Linked DNA regions of Oreochromis niloticus. The protein of the gene in region 2 purifies or fractionates together with the protein of the main gene of each other region. This does not show direct contact. Links are inferred from orthologs where the notes say so. Each region holds a gene or a part of one and is shown on either strand. Other genes may lie near its edges.

What was found. Proteins that work in one complex are often made in the same cells at the same time.
Region 1: the proteins of ubiquitin thioesterase OTUB1 (region 2) and slc7a11 purify together in Homo sapiens (affinity purification with western blotting; 5 studies listed by BioGRID, with this or other methods). This does not show direct contact. The link is inferred for Oreochromis niloticus from reciprocal best matches to the Homo sapiens genes OTUB1 and SLC7A11.

What each region holds. Positions count from the first base shown.
Region 1 is NC_031966.2:1,398,615-1,409,415, forward strand, and holds the start of slc7a11 (cystine/glutamate transporter), read right to left. Parts: upstream 5,298-10,801; 5' UTR 4,922-5,297; coding exon 4,666-4,921; intron 1-4,665. UniProt on the Homo sapiens protein: Heterodimer with SLC3A2, that functions as an antiporter by mediating the exchange of extracellular anionic L-cystine and intracellular L-glutamate across the cellular plasma membrane.
Region 2 is NC_031967.2:5,952,525-5,963,592, forward strand, and holds the start of ubiquitin thioesterase OTUB1, read right to left. Parts: upstream 4,449-11,068; 5' UTR 4,302-4,448; coding exon 4,220-4,301; intron 2,312-4,219; coding exon 2,250-2,311; intron 1,880-2,249; coding exon 1,781-1,879; intron 1,654-1,780; coding exon 1,535-1,653; intron 1,356-1,534; coding exon 1,271-1,355; intron 906-1,270; coding exon 711-905; intron 521-710; coding exon 323-520; 3' UTR 1-322. Other genes in the region: nectin4a (nectin-4), read right to left, coding at 8,516-8,905, 9,043-9,231, 10,654-10,716, 10,999-11,068. UniProt on the Homo sapiens protein: Hydrolase that can specifically remove 'Lys-48'-linked conjugated ubiquitin from proteins and plays an important regulatory role at the level of protein turnover by preventing degradation.

The DNA of each region.
Region 1 (10,801 bases), on a different chromosome or scaffold from region 2:
AGACACATGTTAGCAATGTTCCCTCTAAGCTGTGCACGTGCGCAATTGCGCACTGATGGCACGGTCTCTGCGCACAGAAAGTCTGCGTTTCGCACAAAAAAAAAATCTAACCTGAATTGAAATTAAAATTAATACTTTAACAATTCTGTTTTGCAGTGTTAGTCAGTAAGTGACTGGCTGCTCCCGTATGGGATTAGAACGATGCCACCTTATCCTGTAGTCCAGCCAATGATGCGATTCACATTCGTATGTACGCAGCCAATCAACGTCGTTGACAGGCTATGACAGCATCCTTATGTGCCGACACCGGTGTTTTAGCTAGCAAAGTGGCGTGGCTGATGTGGAGTGAAGCCACGTTAATGACAACGTGTACAACCATTGGAGATGTGAGCAGTACAGACGGAACAATTGACGGAAAAAGTGTGGACCAGTTTTTAAATTGTGTTGATAGGCCAAGGCCACGTAAAACCAGAGTTATGATAAAAATATATGCAATGTTTTGTTTTCTTCCTGAATACTACCGTTATTTATATTTACTGCGGGAAGAAACGGTAAAAATGGCGTTTTATAAGGAAAACGCTCGAAAGCACTCTCCACCTGTGAGCAAAAACAAAACCAAAAAACCCCCCACCCTTTCCTATTGGTCGAAAAAAGTACCATGTCGACCAATCAAAAACATGATATGACAACGTGGCATCTAGTTGTTAAGAAACGGGGGGAAGTTTTAGGAGTGACGGCGGTGTTTTGAGATGTGAGAGATTTGAGACGTTTAGCGCAAATCTTGTGTAGTTAGTGTGTAGTGTAGTCAATAGTTTTGTTGTGTGTGTCAGAACAATGAGGCGACTGCTGAATGTTACAGGTGTTACAGGAGTGATACATCTCCTGTTGTCAGGCCTGCAGGTATCAGGCTGTTGTTCTCCTTTATTTCATAGGGGACAGAAATTATTTTTTGGAGTGGCACAAATAATTTGTGTGGCATCAAATTTAATGCAGAACACCTGATTGTTCTGTAAATAATTTGAAATGTTTGTTTAAAAGCGCATTGGCTGCATTAAAAAAAAAAAATAGTAGCTGCAAAAAACATTGCAGCTACTCTATATATATATATATATATAAAAAAAGTTAAAAAGTTCAAGTTATTTTTACTTCCAATAGTGTTAACATACTGCACAGGTCAATGACTAGATTTTTTTACATTTTCATTGTAAGTGGGCTAAAGCAGTTAATTAAAAGTAGTCTAACATAAATGTAAATGCTGTAATTTGATTATTTTAATAAACCATGTAACTTGGATGGATTCGATGCTGGCGTGACCACAGTGCACACGTCTGATGTCGCTCATAGTGGTCCAGGGGATCGATCAGGGAGTTTGTGTGTTCGCTCAGACATATGAAAAATTAGAGGGAACATTGCATGTTAGTCAAATGGTTGTTTGCCAAAAGTATCACCGTATCATATCACAGGGTGGCTGTGGCTCAGGTGGTAGAGCAGATCAGTTACTGATCGGAAGGTTGGTGGTTCGATCCTAAGCTTCCCCAGTCTGCATGTCAAGTGTCCTTGGGCAAGATACTAACCCCAAATTGCCCTCCGATGCATTCATCGGAGTGTGAATGTAGTTATAGTTTGCACTTGTGTTTAGAAGTGCTTGCATGAATGGGTGAATGAGGCATGTTGTATGCAGTGCTTTGAGTACTCCGGGAGAGTAGAAAAGCGCTATATAAGAATCAGTCCATTTACCATCATAGGTACTCATGTATCTAGTGTTTCTTTTAGGTTTGTTATTTTTCAAATTCTATATTTATTAAGTTTTGCAGGCTTGTTTGCACAACAAGGCTAAATAATTATATAAACTTTTCTGAATCTAAATAGTGTACTTTGGTAGAATTAAAAAATAAGTGTAGTGCAGGTCTATGATGATTTTTAGTGCTACTATCATCTAGTTTTGATTCTGGTTCTGTCTTGGTTAAGTCCTAAGTAGTCCTGATTTTAAACTGTTGTAGTCCTGTTTTAATTCTGGATCAGTTCTGGGTCTGGTTGAATTGAGGTTTAGTCCCTGTGTCTTGATACAGCCCTGACTTTGTTCTGCCTTGCTTAATTAATTTTAAAAAACTAGTTTAAGGTGTCCTGCATATGTGATATTTATTTTTTTCCTATATGAAGTCATTCTTTATTGAACAAAACTCAAAACAGAGCCTAATAAATCTTTCAGTCATTTCTGTGTGGTAACGACTGTGTTTGTCAACAAGACAACGCTACAGAACACAATGCCTGCCGGACAAAGGACTTCTTCCAGGAGAATAACATCACTATTCTGGACCATCCTGCCTGTTCTCCTGATCTAAATCAAACTGAAAACTTTTGGGGATGGATGGCAAGGGAAGTTTACAAAAATGGACAACAGCTTCAGACAGTAGATGCCCTTCGTGTGGTGGTCTTCACCACTTGGAGAAAAGTTCCCACTCACTTCATGGAAGCACTTGCATCAAGGATGCTGCAACGAATTTTTGAATTGATCAACAATACCGGTGGAGCTGCTCATTACTGAGTCACGTTTGGAACTTTGAGTTCTGTTTTGAGGGGTTTACAGGTGCTTTTGGAGGTGTGGTCCTAAACTTTTGATCAGCTGTACAACAGCCTGTTGTAAAAAAATGTTTTGCCTCACTCCCATTTCTTCCTGTAGGATGTTGAAGCTCTACTTGGAACTTTGGATTTTTTAGCCAGTTCTCAAGTGGTCTTAAACTTTATTGGGACTGGATTAATCTCTGACTCTCCCCCACAGCATGACTTTGTCCTGTGTTCCTCCCCTCAACCCCAACCAGACGTACACCCCCCCGGTTCTGCCAGAGCTTTCTTCATGTTAAAAGGACGTTTTTACTTCCTGCTCGCTCAAAAGAGGTCATGCAATAGTTGTGGTGTTAATTATTACATGTCAGGATGATTGGCTAATATGTCCTGTGGTTAATGTTTAAATCAAATTTGATCTCGTAAGTTCTGGTGGTTTTAAGTTCACTGAGAGTCTGAAAAATTACATAATTCAAGTGTTATCTTTCTCAAAGAAACCAAGCAATTATGTATATTCACATATTGCACAAGGTAACAAATCCATGAGCACATCTGTCATTTTTATTCAAAGATTTGAAAATGAATTGAGAAATCATTAGTGCACAGAATTAAAGCTGCACACAATTAAAACCAATAAGTGAAGGATTACACAACAATAGAAGGTGGAGCCAGGGGAGCCCCCGGGTAGAGGTTTTGTCTGTGTTCACCCATGTCCATCTCTGTTGACCTCTGGCCTGCTTGTGCTTTAGGCAAAGACCGCAGTGGAGCTTCAGCTCTCCTTTGTTGAACTTGCACTGCTGTGGATGTTCAGTAAACGACTTGGCAACAAACTCTGCTCTTCTCCAGTGTTTTTTTTTTTTTTCAGTCTTTTTGTTCCCAATAAGACTGAATTCACTTCTGACTGGTCAGACAAGGTTCAACAATTGACTGGAGATTCTGACCTGACTAAACAGCCTGTAGGCATAGCACATCCTCTGTGTAACATGGCGGAGGCCACATTTTGGCATGGACATGCATGGCTTAACCATGCTACCAGTGAGTGCTAACAGAAACAGCACAATGAACTGAGCCATACTGCCTGCATCATTCAGACTGATGCTGCAGAAATGGTCACACAGAGCAGATGATAATGAGCCAAAGCTAACTGTAAGTCATCTGCTCACAACCCAACAGAGCAGCTGTTCAGTTAATGAAGAGAAAAGTGAAAGCACAGACCCACAGACAACAGGTGAAAATGCTGCAGTAAAGGTCCTTGGGTTTCAATACTCGAGAGAATCATTGACAACAAATGAGTTATGTTCATGTTTAAAATAAGTTTGTCCATTTAAATTTCTAGCAACTGTGCATAAATATGTCTGTAACTTCTAAACAGTCAGTGCAATGTTTTTGTTAAACCCTTCAATTAAACTGAAACTCTGTATTTCGATCACATCCTGACTGTTTGATTTGAAATCCACTGTGGCGCTGAACACAAAGCTACAAATACACATAGTTAGGTCCACATTTCTTGGAGCGAGACACAAAGTGTGAGAATATTCAGAATGAGTCGCAGCATCACACTAATCATGCAGGAAAAAGTTTTACAAGTGTTGATGCTGTGTGACAGTCTCCAGCAGTGAGTTATCAGGTCACTGTGTATGTGTAGCCATGTTTAAAGCAATGCTATGAAGCAGACTGAAGTTTGACTGAGACTTGAACATCAGACCCAAGTTAGTGAGTTCAGCCCTGATGGCTGCCATAAAACGTTACTCTGGTAAATACAGCTTATGGTTTGAAGCAGATTTCTGTGGCTGTGAGATGAGCCTTTATATTAACATCATCACTACACTTCTGATATTTACATTAGTGAACTGTAAAATAGCAGGTTTAGCACAGAAGAAGCATACTCGAGGGTTTCAGTACTGACAGTGTTTTTGGCAGTGATGGTTACATCTCTTCTTTTTTAAGCTTACTTTATACAGAAAACAAATGACGGACTTCTGTTTGTTACTTTTCTGACTTCTTTTTATGTCTATTGTTAAATCTCTACAGCCAAAAACAGATTTCTGAACCTCCACCAGTATATTACAAGAGCAGAACTTCTCTGCTGATATTCCAACTCACCAAAGAGGGACAGCACGCCACAGGCAATCCACACCAGCAGGGACACTCCCACACTGCCGGAGTGCTTCAGGATTCCCTTCGGCGAGATGAAGATCCCAGCTCCGATGATGGTCCCGATGATGATGGAGATGCCTCGGAGCAGGGTCACCTTCTTCCCCAGTTCTACCTTCCTGTCCTTCTGTTCTGTCCCGTTTGAGGAAACTTTGTGTCCATTTGCTGCAGTTTCTCTGTGAGCAGATGCAGAGCTTCCAGTCATCTCTGTACACAGTGCCTACCACGCTTCTTCTCTTTATGAATGCACTGTCTGTGACTGCAGACACCCTGTGTGGCTGAGGTTAGGTCTCTCAGTCTTTGTGACTGAAAGTTACAAAACTCTGAGTTAAGACTAAAGGCCAGGCAGGCCGCTCTCTCTCTCTCTCCTCCCACCCACCAGCCTCCACTCTGCCCTCCCTCTCTCTCATCTCTTGCACTTACGTCTCACTTTCCTGCCCGGCTGTCTACCCTTTGACATCACCAAACTTTTCTCTCCTTTCTTTCTTCTCTGCACTGCTGTCTCACCCTGAGTTTGGCTTCCTGCAGCCCCTCTTGTGTAAATCCTGGCTCACGTCAGTTAGGTGTTGCTCTGTTGGGTAATCATGACTGTTTTTCAACACAGCCTCACCCGTTTCCTGATCTCCACTCCTTATCCATTTTCTCTTTTGTCTAATTTCCTCTTGTAATATAACTTCCTCCTCTTTTTTTTAAACATGACAACGCAGGTCTGTAACCTGCCCTGCGATGATTTCAATCGAGGCGAGCAGGTAAAACCAGCTTTCCTGGGACAACAGCAACTTCAAAGAGCTATATAAACTGCTTTACTTCGAGGTGACCATGGTTCTCAGGGGAACAGAAAATAGGGAAGTGTTAGAAACCCTGTAAGGGCTGGTGAAACACTGCTTTGGTTTTTGCAAAATCAAAGTTAGCTACTGAATATGCCTGTCATTGTTTTCACTGCTAATCAAGTTATCTGGTAAGAAAACAAAGGCACAGGAATAAAAAGGCTTTCAGCATCTTTCTCTTCTCCTTTTGCTACCTTGTGAAACAATCCTGCTTCTCTGTTTCCAAGAAAATGGTCAAAACCAAAATGTTGTTTTCTCTGCCAAGCTTGAAAATTGTATTGGCTGCATGGTTCTTCTTTCTGATATCTGGTTTCATCAAGTTATCACCTATCAGGTGCTGTGAGGTCAGGAGAGAGTGCGGTTCCCCTGGCCGCCCCCGCCATCACAGCTGAGAGGTGAGAGGGGTAAAAGCTACAGGTGATTAAAAATGATCAGAGCGGTAAAACACAGTTTTTCCCCTTTCTAATAATAAAGCATTTTTATTCTTAATCAAAGATAAATCAAAATATAAGTTTGATCAATACATAAGAGAGAAATGTGTTCAAGTAGTAACAATGACTGCTCGCATTTTTGTGCGTGTACATGATCGGGAAGATAAGAACTCTGTCACCAGACCATCGTCATACATGATTTTACATGAAAGAAATTCATATGTGAATTTTATTAAATTATGCTTAACGTTGAACAGAAAATAACACGGTGTTTCATAACTGGGAATTTTACCACATCTAATAAATAAGATAATAAACCTTTTGAAAGGATTCTGATAAGAGGAGCCACTCAGAGGTCTGTGTCTGCGGTGCAAGTTGGGGCTGAAAGACACACACCAGTCTCTGAATGTCTGACTTGTAAAATGTATGATTTAATAAAAGGAAATTGCATTAAATAAACTGTGATTGACAAAAACACAGTTTTAAAAAGTAAAAGAAAGAATTCATCTGTTAAAAAAGGGATTCTGTTACAATGTCTGTGAGAATGTGTCAAAGTACAGTTAAATAAACTGAATGAAACATGAAGTGAATTCTATATGTGTATGAGTCAATGTTGAAATGTGATGGATTTTCTTTGTTGAGATTGACAAAGAAAATGAGGTGATTTTAAAGTTTAAACTTTGTGTTAAATCATGTCAGTCTGATAGTCAGAGACAGGATGGACATCAGGTGAGTAGACATTAATACAGTGATGTCCAATAAGAGAGGGGACAGAAAGGGTTCTTCTGCAAGATAAGGATCTAAGACGTCCACAGCTGAAAGTGATACCAGAACCTGTGAATCTGCAAACTGGTTGTATATTTTTGACTTTCCAGTTTAGCCGTGTGAGATGGTTAATTCGGGATACATCATACTTCCACTGGGTGATTATCATCAACTTGGAATGCAGCGTAAATACATCCTTAGGTCTGGTTGTGCTAATCCTTTCTCTAACCTGTGAGTGCAAATAGCTCTTATAGGTTACTCTAGCGCTGTAATTATGACCTTCCCTTGGGGCCTATTTTCCAGGCCACTAGAGTTAAGCCCAGACATTAGAAGTGCCACAATCATTGGAAGAGCTACCATTAACACGTGGGTCTAATAGATTTGACCTGCAAGACGATTCGGGTGTTTGCTTATCTGATCAGAGTAAGCAGGGGAGACACCTGGACGAGTAGTGGGGGAGTCCCCTCACCTAGCCCTGAATTGCTTCCTGGGTAAGACTGTTAGGATCAGAGGTAAGGAAGTTCTTATCAGAGAGCCGAAACCACACTTCCTGTATAGGACTCGGGGATGCAGATGGACACACTGGCTGCTCCTTAAATCTGTCATTTCACCGATTTATTGTCATAAACCAAGTTGTAATCTAATTATAATTAGAACTATAACTGTAACTGTAATTATAACAATTTATTGATTGAACATTCCAAAACATATACTTAGTCATTAATGAGAGATCTAATTTAAGACATAACACAGCTGCATCTCCACCCTTTTCAACTGAATGTCTGCTGTTTGAAATGCATTATTCATTAACACAATCATAATTTGCACTGGTAACTAATACGCTAAGCATACTTTGTACTTTTTTACGTAATTATTTTAGTATCAGTACATTGACCTGTAGTTAAGTGAGATTTAAATGATGAATATAACATCTACTTCTGCATTACTGCCAGTGCATATTTGAATTTAAAAATGGGCAAACCCTTTTCCAGCTTCAGCTTTCATGTAAAACAGAAAGAAACAAAGCTTTTGTTGGGTATATTTTTTACAGTTCAGAGGATTTGTTCTGTTAGTTCAGTCGTTCTCAAACTGATGCCAGAAAGAAAAGTGCGCATGCGCCAACCAGCGTGCAGCCTGTTACAGTCGCTCCTGCTTTTTCTCTTAGTTTAGCTCTGTTTTCTTACGTATTCTTTTTTTTTCTGACTTGTATTTTCATCCGTTTATCATATTTCACTCAATCATGTGGATTGAGAGAGTTTTTGTTCTTCTGGTGGCCGTGGAACTATTATCAAGGAACGGGACCGCAGCACATCTCCTACACGTACGGACTGTTTACTCCAGAGATCAGCTGATCACCCTGATGCCGGCCGGCTCGCTGGCCAGACCCGCAGAAGTACCAGCTGAAATTTGGAGAAAAACACATCGGGGATGCAGAGGTCAAGGACAGAGGAGAAGAAAGAAGGAGACGGTGAGACAGCGGAGGCTCGAAGCAAGGAGGAGGTATAAACCGTGTCTGCCGTCTATCGTAATGGGAAATGTGCGATCCTTATCGAATAAAATCGACGAGCTCTCAGCGCTGGTATGGAGTCAGAGGAAATAGAAAAGAGGGAAAAGAGTGTAGCCTGATGTGTTTCACGGAATCATGGATGCACCAGGACATTCCCGGCGAGAATGCTTCCGTGGAAGGCTTCCACACTGTTCGGGCGGACAGGGACAGCATCGCTAGCGGTAAGCGGAAAGGAGGTGGGCTTGCTGTTTTAGTTAACAACTGGTGGTGTAACCCTGCCAACATAACAATCAAAGAAAGGATTTGTTGCCCGGACATTGAACTGTGTGCTGTAGGACTCAGGCCGTATTATTTACCCAGGGAATTCTCTCATGTCATCTTGGTGGCTGTTTATGTTCCTCCCTCTGCTAACCCCACAGCTGCATGTGACACTATCCACTTGGCCATAGCCCGGTTACAGACTCAGCACCCGAGTGCCTTTATTGTGATCTCGGGTGACTTCAACCATGTATCACTGGACAATACACTACCAACATTCAGACAATATGTGGACTGTCCCACCAGGGGAGAGAAAACTTTAGACCTACTGTATGCTAATGTAAAGGATGCATACAGCTCCTCCTCCCTCCCCCCACTTGGAAGGTCAGATCATAACCTGATTCACCTAACCCCACGCTATGTGCCAATTGTGAGGAGGGAACCTGTGACCACGAGGAGCATTAGGAGGTGGTCAGAGGAGGTCTTAGCGGAACTACAGGGCTGTTTCGAGGTGACCGACTGGGAAACACTCTGTGAGCCTCACACCGAGCACATCAATGGGCTTACTGAGTGTACTACATGTACTACATATACAGACTACATAACTTTCTGCACCGACTCCATTGTTCCAGCTCAGACTGTTCATTGTTACCCAAATAACAAGCCGTGGGTGACTAAGGACATCAAAGCCCTCCTCAACGACAAGAAGAGGGCTTTCAGAGGGGGCAATAAAGAGGAGGTGAGGAAGGTCCAGGTGTTACTAAAGGACAAGATCAGAGTGGAAACTCCAGCAGAAGAGCATGAGAGAGGTGTAGAGGGGCATGAAGACTATCACTGGATTCAGGACAACCAACAGCAGGGGAGCTGAGGGAGGTGAGGATAGAGCTAACGAGTTGAATCTGTTTTTCAATAGATTCGACACCACAGTGTCTGCTCACACCCCCACAACCTCACCTGTAGTCAGCCTGGAACCCAGAACCACACCACTGTGCCAGCCTCTCTCTTCACATGGTGCTGTTGCCTCCTCTGAGATTCCTGACACCCCTCCCCCACCCATCACCTTCACTCAATACCAGGTTCAGATGCAAATGAGGAGACTTCACTCAGGTAATCAGCAACACAGGGGCACAACAGGGGACTGTCCTCTCCCCCTTCCTCTTCACCCTCTACACCACAGACTTCAGCCACTGCACAGAGACCTGCCATCTTCAGAAGTTTCCTGATGACTCCGCGGTGGTTGGATGCATCAGCAGGGATGATGAGACAGAGTACCGGGCTGTGGTCGACTCCTTTGTCACGTGGTGTTAGCAGAATCATCTGCAGCTCAACGTGGCAAAGACCAAGGAATTGATACTGGACTTCAGGAAGACCAGGAAACACTTGACCCCTGTTTCAATCCAGGGGGGCAGTGTTGACATTGTGGAGGACTATAAATACCTTGGAGTACACACTGACAATAAACTGGACTGGGCTAAAAACACCACAGCACTTTACAGAAAGGGCCAGAGTTGTCTCTATTTTTTGAGGCGACTGAGGTCCTTCAACATCTGCCAGAAAATGCTCAGGATTTTCTATGAGTCTGTTGTTGCCAGCGTGATCCTCTATGCTGTTGCATGCTGGGGGAGCAGGCTGAGGGTCGCAGATGCCAACAGACTTGATAAACTGATCCGTAAGGCCAGTAATGTTGTGGGGATGGAGCTGGACCCCCTCAAGGTGGTGTCGGAGAGGCGGATGTTGTCCAAGATAAAGACAATATTGGATAACACCTCCCACCCACTCCATGACATGCTGGTCAGTCACAGGAACACGTTCAGTGACAGACTGAGATTACCAAAAAGCACCGCTGAACGACACAGGAAATCATTCCTGCCTGTGGCCATCTCTCTGTACAACTCCTCCACTTTACACACTGTTTACTGCAACAGCTACACCCTTTTTGCACATGTTCTTTTCAGCTATTTATTAATGAGTGACTTTTATGTATATATATGCCTGTATATATTGTGCTATTCTTAGTTAGTGTATTGTCTGTCTTTGTTAATGTTTGTTTATAATGGAGCACTGTAACAAAAATAATTTCCCCTAGGGATCAATAAAGTATTCTGATTCTGATTCTGAAAAGGTTCAGTCAGCTGTGGACAAGTCCAAACACGACAGTCTACCAAAATTTAACCTGCCACTAAGTCACCAGAGAACCTCAAGAAAAAGAAGTCCTTCATTTATTGTCATTCATTATATTGTCACAGTCTTTATTTCGAGTCGTTTGTATGGTTAATAGCAGTGCCTGTCACTGGAAA
Region 2 (11,068 bases):
CATTTACAACCACAAAAGAAAAAAAAACCCTGTACAACTCTAAATGGTTGGAGTCACTTCTATATTTCCAAAGATTTTTTTTTTTTTTATTTCATCATTTTGTTATGACTGAAGGTAAATTTGGGGGTTTGGGGCGAGAAGGGCAAAGGAGGCAAGTAATGTGATTTTCTCTCTCTTTTTCTTTTTTTCTTTTTTCCAAATACACAAGTGTAATCTTATACACAGATGTATGTTTCATCAGCATGGCTGCTGGTAGCATTTTCTGAATGCGCTGCTGCGGCACACAGCAGGAGATGCATGAGATGGGCCGTGGCCAGGAGTGCTATTTGTACAAGATGTCGTAATGGCCAGGTCTATAGAGGAGGAAGATGCGGGGGTCTCCGCCTTCGGGAAAGACGTGGTGATTGACTGTTCCTCCCTCTCCTCTATCCATGTACTCCACCAGAATGGATACGTCCAAGGCCTGAGCTAAGGCGATGATGTGAATGTGGTCACTTTCTTTAGACATTGGCTCTACCTCCTTGGAAAAAGAGAAAGAAAAAAAAAAGCACATTAGGTTTGAGTTTCAGACAATAAAACATCTTCATTATACCAGAATGGCAAACACTGTACTCTTTACACAACGTCGGTCATAACAATTCAACAGTTATGTACATTATATTTAAATTTAAAAACAGGAAAATGGTTATCTATGTAGGGAAAACCTTCACCTGCTGGCAGAACTCCTTGACAGTGCGCCCACCCTCTATGAAATGCTGAAAGAAGGTATGCTCTCGCTGCAAGTAGCCTGAGGTGAGCAACCGCAGGTACACCACCACATAGTCTGATACGTTCTGGTCGTTGAAGGAGCTCAGCACCTCCTGCAGCCTCGGCTGTTTCTCACACAGTTCAATCAAGTCCATGAACTAGCAGGAAAAACAATATTTACATATTTAGACTCATGTACTCGGGCTTCAGCTTGCCAACTTTCTATTTAACTGGCCAAAACAAATTTGGCTGCATGTTCCATTTCACTGAACACATCATGTGCTCTGGCAGATGACCATCTAAAATTGGCTAGTCAGTAAGGATCGTCATCTGCACCTTATCCAACATAACAAATGATATGCTGTCAGTCAGGTTGAGGGTTTTACACCTCTTTTTTTAAGCTTTTTTACAGTAACAATGCAAAAAAGCAGAAAATAAAACAAATGTATCTAACTAGATGACATGCATTTGCTATTACAGCAACTTCAGCAAAATAGTCATTTAGGTTTGCCAGAATACTCACAGTATTGTGAAAATCTTCAATAGTAAACTCAGTGAAACCTTCGTTAACCAGATCCAGTTTACTTTTAGCTGCAACTGCTTTGAACCTGAAGAGACAAAATGTGTATTTAAAGGTAAACATTGTAAATATTAAAGCCACCTATGTGCTTATCTGAATTTTAAAATATTGAAAACAGAACACAGTGTACTGCTCACACACATTCACACATTGAGTATAGACACCAACAGCCAGCAGAGCACACACAGTAACCACTCTGGCACTCACTTCTGAAGTTCTTTGCTGTCATCTAGCAGGGACTCGAGATGTGCAAAGCCAAAGGCTCTGTAGAAACAGTTTCCATCTGGTCGCGTCTTGCGAATGTACGAGTATTTTTTGTGCAGGTCCTGTAATAACAATAATTTTAAAAAATCTTTAAGATCAGATCCAAAACTGTTATTGCAAATTTAAACAGAGAAACTTTGGATTGACACGTGGCTGCAGTAACCTGAGAGGTGCTGCGCTCTGACTGACCTTGATCTTGAGCTGATAAACCGTGTCATCCTCAGCGTACTCGCTCTGCAGCACCGACAGGTCCTGTCTGTCTGACACTAAAGGGTTACTGGTGGCTATCTGCACAACCACACACACAAAACTGCAAATTAGTCACTGCAATCCATCTCCATACTTGTTTTTAGACTTTTTATTACACAGTACATCTGTGATTATGCATTAGTAACATTTCTTTTATTATAAGCTCACAGCTGTGCACATAAACCCTGTTACAGGTAAAGGTCAATGTAATTACTGCAAAGATAGATTCTCAAAGACATGCATCTCATTTGTTTTCAGTGTGCAAATTATGCTTTTATAGCCCTGTCCACATGTGATCTGAGATTTCTGAAGTTGCTCATCCGGATCCCCAGAATAACGCCAAGCTATCTTTATTTCTTTTTGCTGCCCAAACTAAACTTGACCTTTAAGATAAAAAGAGCTTCCTTACCTCCTGCTGAATCCGGTCCTGTTGAGCAATTATGGCCTCATCATATGCTAGGCAGTTCACTCCTGTAAGACAAGGGTGACAAATTCAAGAGGCTTCAGGAGTAGAGTAGTACTTAAATGACATACTGGCTGAAACAGAGGATAGTGAAGCTGTGGCATTGGGATTTTAACTGCACATCAGATTAGAAGCACTATTTGAAATCGCAGTGTTCCAGTGATGCAAAGTGTGTACTTTAGATTTACATTACCATAAATATAGTAGCATTTATGGTACTATAAACTGACAACAGCACTGTAACAGTTCTGAAACTGAGACCAAAACTGCACTACAAACATCTGCAGTATCAAAGCAGAACTCCATCTTCCCAAACTGTATGGAGGTGCTAATGTTTCGTTAAAGGATGCTAGTCTGAGGAAAACTGCTTAGGTTAACTTTTTTAGTAGAGTGCGATCCTAATGTGATCTACTGCACAGATGTGTGGTTTGAAAAAAATGAAAAAATAGAAAAACATTATGAACTGAAAGCTAAAACACAGTTTCAGCTTTTAGTGTTTCAGACAGTTAGGATACAAGCATTTGCTACTAGGGAAACAACTGTTGCACCAATTCAATATTTGGATTGGATATCGATCCGATACCAACTGTGAAAACTGGACCAGCTATCAGTGATAACGAGCCAGCCCATTCGATTCATTTCTGTGTTGCTCTGTGTTTACTTTGCCACGTGTATCCTAGGGCTGTTTTCTTTTATTTCACTAATAAATATCAACATTTGTATAGAATTATATTTATTTGTTCCTTTTCAGTTTTCAAAGTTAGGAAAATGTTTTAAGTTAAGTCTCGTATTTCCTGACACATATAAGAATACTTTCTAGTCTCTTGCTCACAGCGTTATAGATTATTAATTTAAAACCAGTATCTTATCTCTAGTCAGTATTAGCAGACACCCAAGCTGTATTGGATGGGAATCAGAACAAGCTGATTTGGCCCATCTCTGACTGCATTCACTTTTACATTTGGTGCGTTTACGCAGGTGTGACCTAGTGACACTGGCAGTGTACCTGCATTGCACCTGCAATGCTGTGTGACAATGTAATACCCAAACAAGCCAGGAATTAAAACTGAACTAACTCGATATTACTTGGTTTTACTAGGAAATTAAAAAGTGCCTAGCTTGTATTTAACAATCACAATTAAATGCGACTGCATTATCTTGGCTGTAAAAATAAATAAATAAACTCGATCACCCGTAATACATTGTAGGTTAAGATGCCAGTTTCTTAATAAAAGTAACGGCGCCAGGTGCTGCATGTCGTTTTGGTTTAAATGTCCTTTTTCACAAAGCCCTTTTAACGCGGTGTTTTCCTTCTCAGTGGCGAAACCACTGAATTCGTTTTAATGCCAGACAGCTGCATGTAAACAAAATGTAATAAAATGTGGAATAAATCAATTGACAAAGACACACTCCCCCCTTCCGTTTTCATCACCTGCTGACACCAATAAGCAAACAAGAGCGCATTTAGCCCTTGGTCAGCATTTAACATCAAAACAAGTTAACCTACAAGCTAACGTCAGTCAGCTAAACTTGGCTAGCGCGACTTGTGCGAAAACAAAACAAATTCTAGCCACGACGCAGTTTTATAAACTAAAAACACGACGCCTTTTCTTTAATAATAAGTACACATTTTAAGCATTTCCAAAAGTCAAAACCTCTGGGACTGTCACTCACTGCTGCCTTGACATTAACTAAACAAGCTTTTTTTTTCTTTGTGTAGCATTGGCAGCTAGCTAACGTTAGCCCAGAAGCTCTGGCCTCTGTGTGCCCCTCACCGCTGCACATCAGCCAGATTCAGCACGGAGGAGGCAACGGCTGAAACGCTTTACAGATGTTCGTGTGGATAAGAGTTTCGTTTAGAAGAGAAATGGCAGCGCACTTTGCTTGATATTTGTTGGTGTAACTGTTTCTCTCACCCTCCATCTCTCCCTGTGATGACTCTTGCTGCTCCTCCGCCATCTTAGCTGTCGAGATCGGTTTCCTCCCTCCGCATGACATCACTCGTCGCACACTTCCGAGCGCAGACCACCGGTAAACTTACTTTATTTACTTATTTATTTATTTATTTATTCATTCATTCATTCATTCATTTATTTAGTTTGTGGTCAACCTTTTCGCATGAATAATGACTTTGTTAACAAAGCTAAAGCGTCATACGAGGCTTCCAGTACATTCCATTGGCTGATGTTTTACCAGAAAATAATGCATTTATTTACATAATTACAGTATTATGTCATATTTAATATACATTTATTTCTTTATTATATCATAACTTTAACTAAGATTAATTGATAAAGAAATAAATATTTGGTAGTGTTGTCAAAGGGTTCGTGTTGTTGCTGGGATATAAAAAGCCCTCCTCAGCATTATAACAGGTTGCTTTTCTGAGGGTCAAACAGGATTATGAGGCAGGTGAAGTGTGCAGTCCTTCCACAAAACCATGGACCCTCACAGAACTGCACAGTCACTGGTTTGGGGTAATTTGTTTAATTGCAAACATGGTAAAAGTTATGCACTAATTAAGCAAATCCCTGCTTAAGTTAGTTCTAATTGGCTGGCTTTTATTTATCAAGTTAGTGGCTATTCTTCAATAACTGTGATGAAGGTAAAAATCCAACAAACAATTAGTTTTGTACATTCAGCCCACTGTGATTTTGAGTTGGCTGGACCGGATGAAGGCCCTTTCCTGTCAGTATAAAGGTGTTCAACTGCACATTTGAGCTTAGTATTAGAAAAAGCAGAGCAATTTCAACAACATATCTAAATATAAATATCATATAAATGTAAGAAATCTCTTACATCTCTCTTTGGGCATACATTTTAAGAAATAAATGTGTAAAATTACATTTCTAAAAAATCTGGTCACTCATTCCCCAGACTGTCCTGTTATTACAAAACAAAGTTTTTCTTAATTCACAGGAAACATCCTGTTTTTTTAATGTATTTATTTATCGTTTTTGTTTTGTTATTATGGATGTAAAAAAGAGAAATTTTGATAGTATCAGAATCAGTAGTTAAAAAAATAACAGAAAGGGTCCTGTCATCTAATTGTTTATCTATTAGTTTGATGCATGAATTTCCATAAGGGAGGGGAAAACATTAAGATGCATCAAAAAATTAAAGTCCAAAATTTATGCCCTCCATTATATTTATCATAGCTGTCCAGTGGTCCGAACTGGAGTCTTTACCAGACCAATTTATGTTTGACACCCTTGCCCTGCAGTACTCTTAAGAAAACCCTGACAATCAAACAAGCGCATATGAGTAAGCACTCTGTGACAGTGGGGAGGAAAAACATCCTTTAAACAGGAACAAAGTAGGGCAGAACCGGCCTTGGGGAAGGCTGCCACTCCTCCTGCTGTGCCTGTGGTTTGAGGACTCTGACAGTTAGCATGACTCAAGGGGTGCTGATTCATTTAAACATATTCATCCTGTTGCAACCAAGATGACTACATTAACTCTGATGAAGCAATGGGATATATGGATGATGCACAGTGATAGAAACCATTGGATAGGAACTAAAAAGTATAGCAAATTATTCAGTGGCCAATACGTTTCTTTAAGGTTTAGTTTGCTATGATGACTACAACACAAGAGCAAAAACTGAAAAGAAATTCTCACAGTATGACATAACCTGTGGATGAATGTAGTGTACAGTAGTGCGAAGGCTGTCGGTATCCCAACATCCACAATTTGAGCACCGCAGCCGTCACTGAGGAGCAATGAAGGTTTCTTCAAGTGACAAAACCCATTTGATGTGATGATGAAGCTCCTATTACAAGGAAGGCCTCTGGAAAAGGAGACCAAAAGTTCCAGGAGCTGCAGTGAAAAGGTTAATTAGCCTCCTAACTCTGCAATTAACAGTACCTCGGATTGGATGCCACTTTAGTGTTTACCACAAGTCAAGTGAAAGACATGTCCTAACATCAGCTGTTACAGACGAGGCTTTTATTCTTTAAACACTGCAAAGAAACCACTACTGAGTGAGAGCACTGAGACTGAAGAGGCAAGAATTGGCGTTATACATTTGTGATTTCAGCTATGAGGGCAGATGGGTTTAAATACCTGTGATAAACCAACAGCATCAGACAGTGCACATAGGCAGAAAAAAAAAAGTGAAGGTCTACAAGATGGTAGTGAGACCTGCTGTGATGTATGGTTTGGAGATGAAGTCAGAAGGTGGAGGTTGCAAAGATGTTCTTTGGGAGCAAGACCAAAGAGGAGGATTATGGATGAAGTAAAGGAGGACATGCAGATGGTTGGTAGAGACAGACTGGAGCAGCTGAAAGAAGAAGAAGACTACAAAATGTAATAGTTTCAGTGCATTCGGTTTTTTCTACAATATAAAAAATAGTTTAAAAAATGAATGTACAGGGGTAACTAAAGTGCTGTACACCTGCACCTTTAGAAAAACCACATACATTTATTTCAACCCATCAGTACTAGCTGATAACCATCCAGAGCTCTCTGCAAATAACTAGAAATCCAGGCAAATGTCCAAGAAGATCATCTGGATCACAATGGAAGGCAGTTTTTCATAGTTGGTTAGTTCTGCAGTTTGTTGCCTCAGTCAGGCCCCTGCACTTTCCAGCAGTATACACCAGGGGGCGCTGTCTGCAAATGCAACCTGCATTCAGACATTATGGCTTCTCATTTGTTAGGTGCTGCCGGATAATAGTCACACATCACTTTGAGTTTGCCACAAACTGTCCCAGCACACTTTTTACACAACTAAAGCAACATCAGACAAGTGTATCGGAAAAAAGTCGTATTTACAGCAGATAACATAACAAAAAGGAAACAATACAATTGTACAATACAATGTATGTAACAAACAATATAATACTTCATATTTGCCAGAATAGCAAACCTGTTATTTTTTTTCATGTTTCCCCTTTGGCACATTTTTCCCAATACTCATAACAGATATTAAAAAAAAAAAGTACACAGATAAAAAATACATGTTTGGCTTTTATGCTGCAATCAAAGGCTGTAACATGTCCCTGTTAAACTCCTTTTGGAAAGACACGGTCCTCTTTTGGAGGAAACGTTCCAAACTGTACAGAAATTCCATGTGTGGCGACCTTTTTTATTCATTTCTACGATCTGCTTCGTGAGAATCCAGGCATACTTACAGAATCTGATCAATTCTAACTATGTTTTCCAAATGTTTGGCAGCTTTTCCAGATTCCATTGATGTTGACATTCATACTGTGTGTGTAAACATCGACAGATCAAACATAAATGCACTCTAATGTATTAAGTGTGCATGTTTCATATATGCTTTGTCATCTCTAGTCTTATATATGTGTACATCAATATGCTTGTAGCACACATGTACTACGTGTATGTGGAAGAATCTGAGTGAGGAGGCCACTGAGGCAGAGGGATGTATGACCTGACAGCACATTTTATTTGTTGTTGTTACCATGCTGTGTCTTTGTTACTTCAGATTTAAGTATTACAGCTCTATTTCAAAGGTGTTTGTGGGGTTTTTTTGTTTGGTTTTTTTGTTCTTTGTTTTTTTTTAAGAAAAGGGAGCTCACTCGTGTATTTGTACAGATTTACAGATCACTACATGTAAGGGACATTAATCTTGTTTTGGCATTAAGGTTTCATCTGATCCAAACTGTCTCAGTGCCTACGGCGGCAGGACAGTAAGACAATATGAAGGTATGCGGGTTGAAGGTGTGGCCAGAGATGAACAAGCCAAAAAAATCTGGATCAGGTCCCAACCAATGTTGTGTAAGAGAATGTGACACAGGCAGTTACTCTTACACTCACCACAACCAAATCAGAAGTCCACCCTCAACACCGAGCTGTTGCAATCTCCTTTTTAGATTTGCCGACTTTCCCACAGCCTTGTTTACTCCTCCTGTATTTCCTGGTTTTTCCCACAGCAAGTGCTTTCAATATCCCCTCATAAGCTCTGGCAGCTGGATTCACCTGTCAGCTGCAGCTGGTTAGAGCAACAGCTGTATTGTGAAAGCTCAGAAAGGAATATCGTCGGTGATGATGCTGAAGTAGCTGCACTGGAAAATGTGTGATATTGTCTTTAGTTTCCAGTAGCTCTGCAAACATCTGGGGAATACGCCACTGATCCCCCAAACAGCAGGCAGCAATAAGAAATGCCCTAAAGATGCTTTGGAGTCAACCGCATCCACAAAAGCGGTGCAGTTCTGTAATTTCACGTGTTATTTTCTCACCAGCTGTTAAACTATTTGGGCCTTGTGGATTATAGAGGTGTGGGGATTGACCGGATGGGGGCTTGGGATCCTTTTGTATTTTAACAGGCCATTACTAAGCTGGCAGGGCAGACTGTGACCCTCAGACACCTGAGAGCTGTTCGTCTCGCTGTCTTGATCAAAAGGTTGCTCCTGACTGGCAGGACCGCCCAGCCCTTCATCCACTTCATCATCGTCGTCCCTTATGGGTGGGCAGGTGCTGCTCACGGGAGGGTGTTGGTGATTCTTGGTGATGCTTCCCAGTCGCAACCCCACATCCGGTGGGACAATGGGGCTGCCGTTCATCGACCTCAGAAAGTCGGGCGTTTGCATCCTCTGAGGCAATTGCGTGAGAGGAGGGTGGTAGTGAGTTTCTGGCTACAAGGACACAGAGCAGACACAGATTTTGATTGCATCATCATCAGGTTAACTATGCAGTGGTTAGTAATATGGAGCCGAGGCATTCCACAGTTTGGCGAACTCAAGCCTTGACACGCACACTAAGACACACTTACCAAAGATAAAGAGCTGTTTTTCACATATCTCTCCACTCTGAGTCGGCTTTCCTCGTCTCTGTCCAGAGGCCTTTCTCTCCCCCTCCGGGAGTTGTTGTATATGGCTGGTCTGCCCAGAGAGTCATACGCAATTCCTCCTCCCCGACTGCCTGAGATAGTAGATCGGCTATCACGGCACTGAGGCTGCTCCTGTTTATGGCATGGAAACGAAACACTAGTAACTATTACTAGACACACTGATGAAGTGCATAGATTGTAACAATTCTATGCTCAAAACAACAGAATTGCTACAAACATTCTCCCCAAATTCACGTAAAAAACACATTATTTAAAGCATTATAGTTACATTATTTACTTACATGTATATTTTAAAAAGTAGTTTTAAAACAATAGTTTAGCATTAACTGGGGAAAAATAAATTAACTTTTAATGAAAAATAGTCTGTTATTTATTTGCATTTAATTAGTCACAGTTTTCAAGAAATTCGAAGGAAAGTATTGGATAATATATTAGATAAAATAAGAGATTTAATTTTGGGCCCCAAACTTCACTCCAGGTCCTGATTGAATCAGGCCTGACATACAATTAGGCAATAAAAGCTTTACAAAGTAGCTTTTTGGGCCTAAATGTTTTTTCAGTGTATTGAAAATGACTAAGATGTGGCTGTAAAAGACAAAAAATTGGGAATAGCCACATGCAAAATGTTACTTTTCTCAGTAAGCTGCATTTGATGACACTAAAGATGAAATTAAATGGGTTTTTTTTGTTGTTTTGGGAAATATGCTACAGCGTATTCTTCCTGAAACATAGCAGCGTGCCACTCCCATGTCTTCATGCTAATTACAGGAGCTACAACCAGCAGTAATTTAGCTCAGGAAACAGAGCATTATTAAACCAGTCTGATCTCACTAAAATGTGAAAGGTAACTACTGACTCTTAACACCACATTACATAGTGACACATGTCTGAGCTAAACATTGTCATTTTAACTCTCTTTAAAAGAATCAGCCACTATTTTTGCCCTTCTGATACGGTTGTAAAGGCCAAATCATGGTCTTATTATCAGCCTAGAAAACCAACAGAGTCCAGGGGACAAGTATAAAGACATGAACCCAAATTTCTTGGGTGAAAGTCTGCATTCTTCTCCCCTCAATTTTGTTTGCTTTATACCTTATCTAAGGGAGGGAATTCATCTGTCCACAGTAACAAAGTTTCTAACCTTCCAAATTGCACTGTGCTACATTATGTTTCACCAGTTAGAGTCGCTGGCTTGCAGTTGTAGTTGGTTATACTTTAAAACAGACCAAGCATTGCTGTTTGCAACTTGCTCGCAGTGTTTACGCTTCACTAAGCTAACATGTATCTGGCTCCAGCTCTATATTTAACACATGTGAGAGTGGTGTCAGTCTTCTGGCCTAATTCTCAGCATGAACTTTAGGGCCCATAGAGAGGAACAGAGATGTTAAAAGAGAAGAAAAAAAAAGCTGTGATGCACTACATGCAGATTCGAAATGTTGAAACTCAGAACTTAGCCATCTGGCATCTGGCTAGTAAAGCCTCAGTCCCAGGCCCTGGCCCTGCATGCAGATTTATATAGATACGCAGACTGACCCCAAGGGAAGACAGGCTGTTCCTCAGTGTTCCCTCCACCCTCAGAGGGATGTTTTCCTCTGTCTGCAATCAAAAGAAACACAACAAAATTCCAAATCATGAAAAAAATCTGTACATTCAAACCTTACCATACTATGCTTTCATTATTTTAAAACTGATGGTATTATTGATAGAAGATATGAATATTTGGCTGTTGCGACTAACAGACACCGGTAGTTATATTGAAGTGTTTGGAGTTATTGATAGTGAAATCTGAACGTTGGAAAAAGGTTTGTGTGACACACGTGGTCCACTGATTTGGATCAGTGCTGAGCAGTGTGTGAGAGAATAATCATGCAAACGTACCGCTCTCCTGTCTGTACTCGAGGAGTTCATTCTCCTGATAGAGGCTTGTCTGGAGAGAGTGCTTATTTCC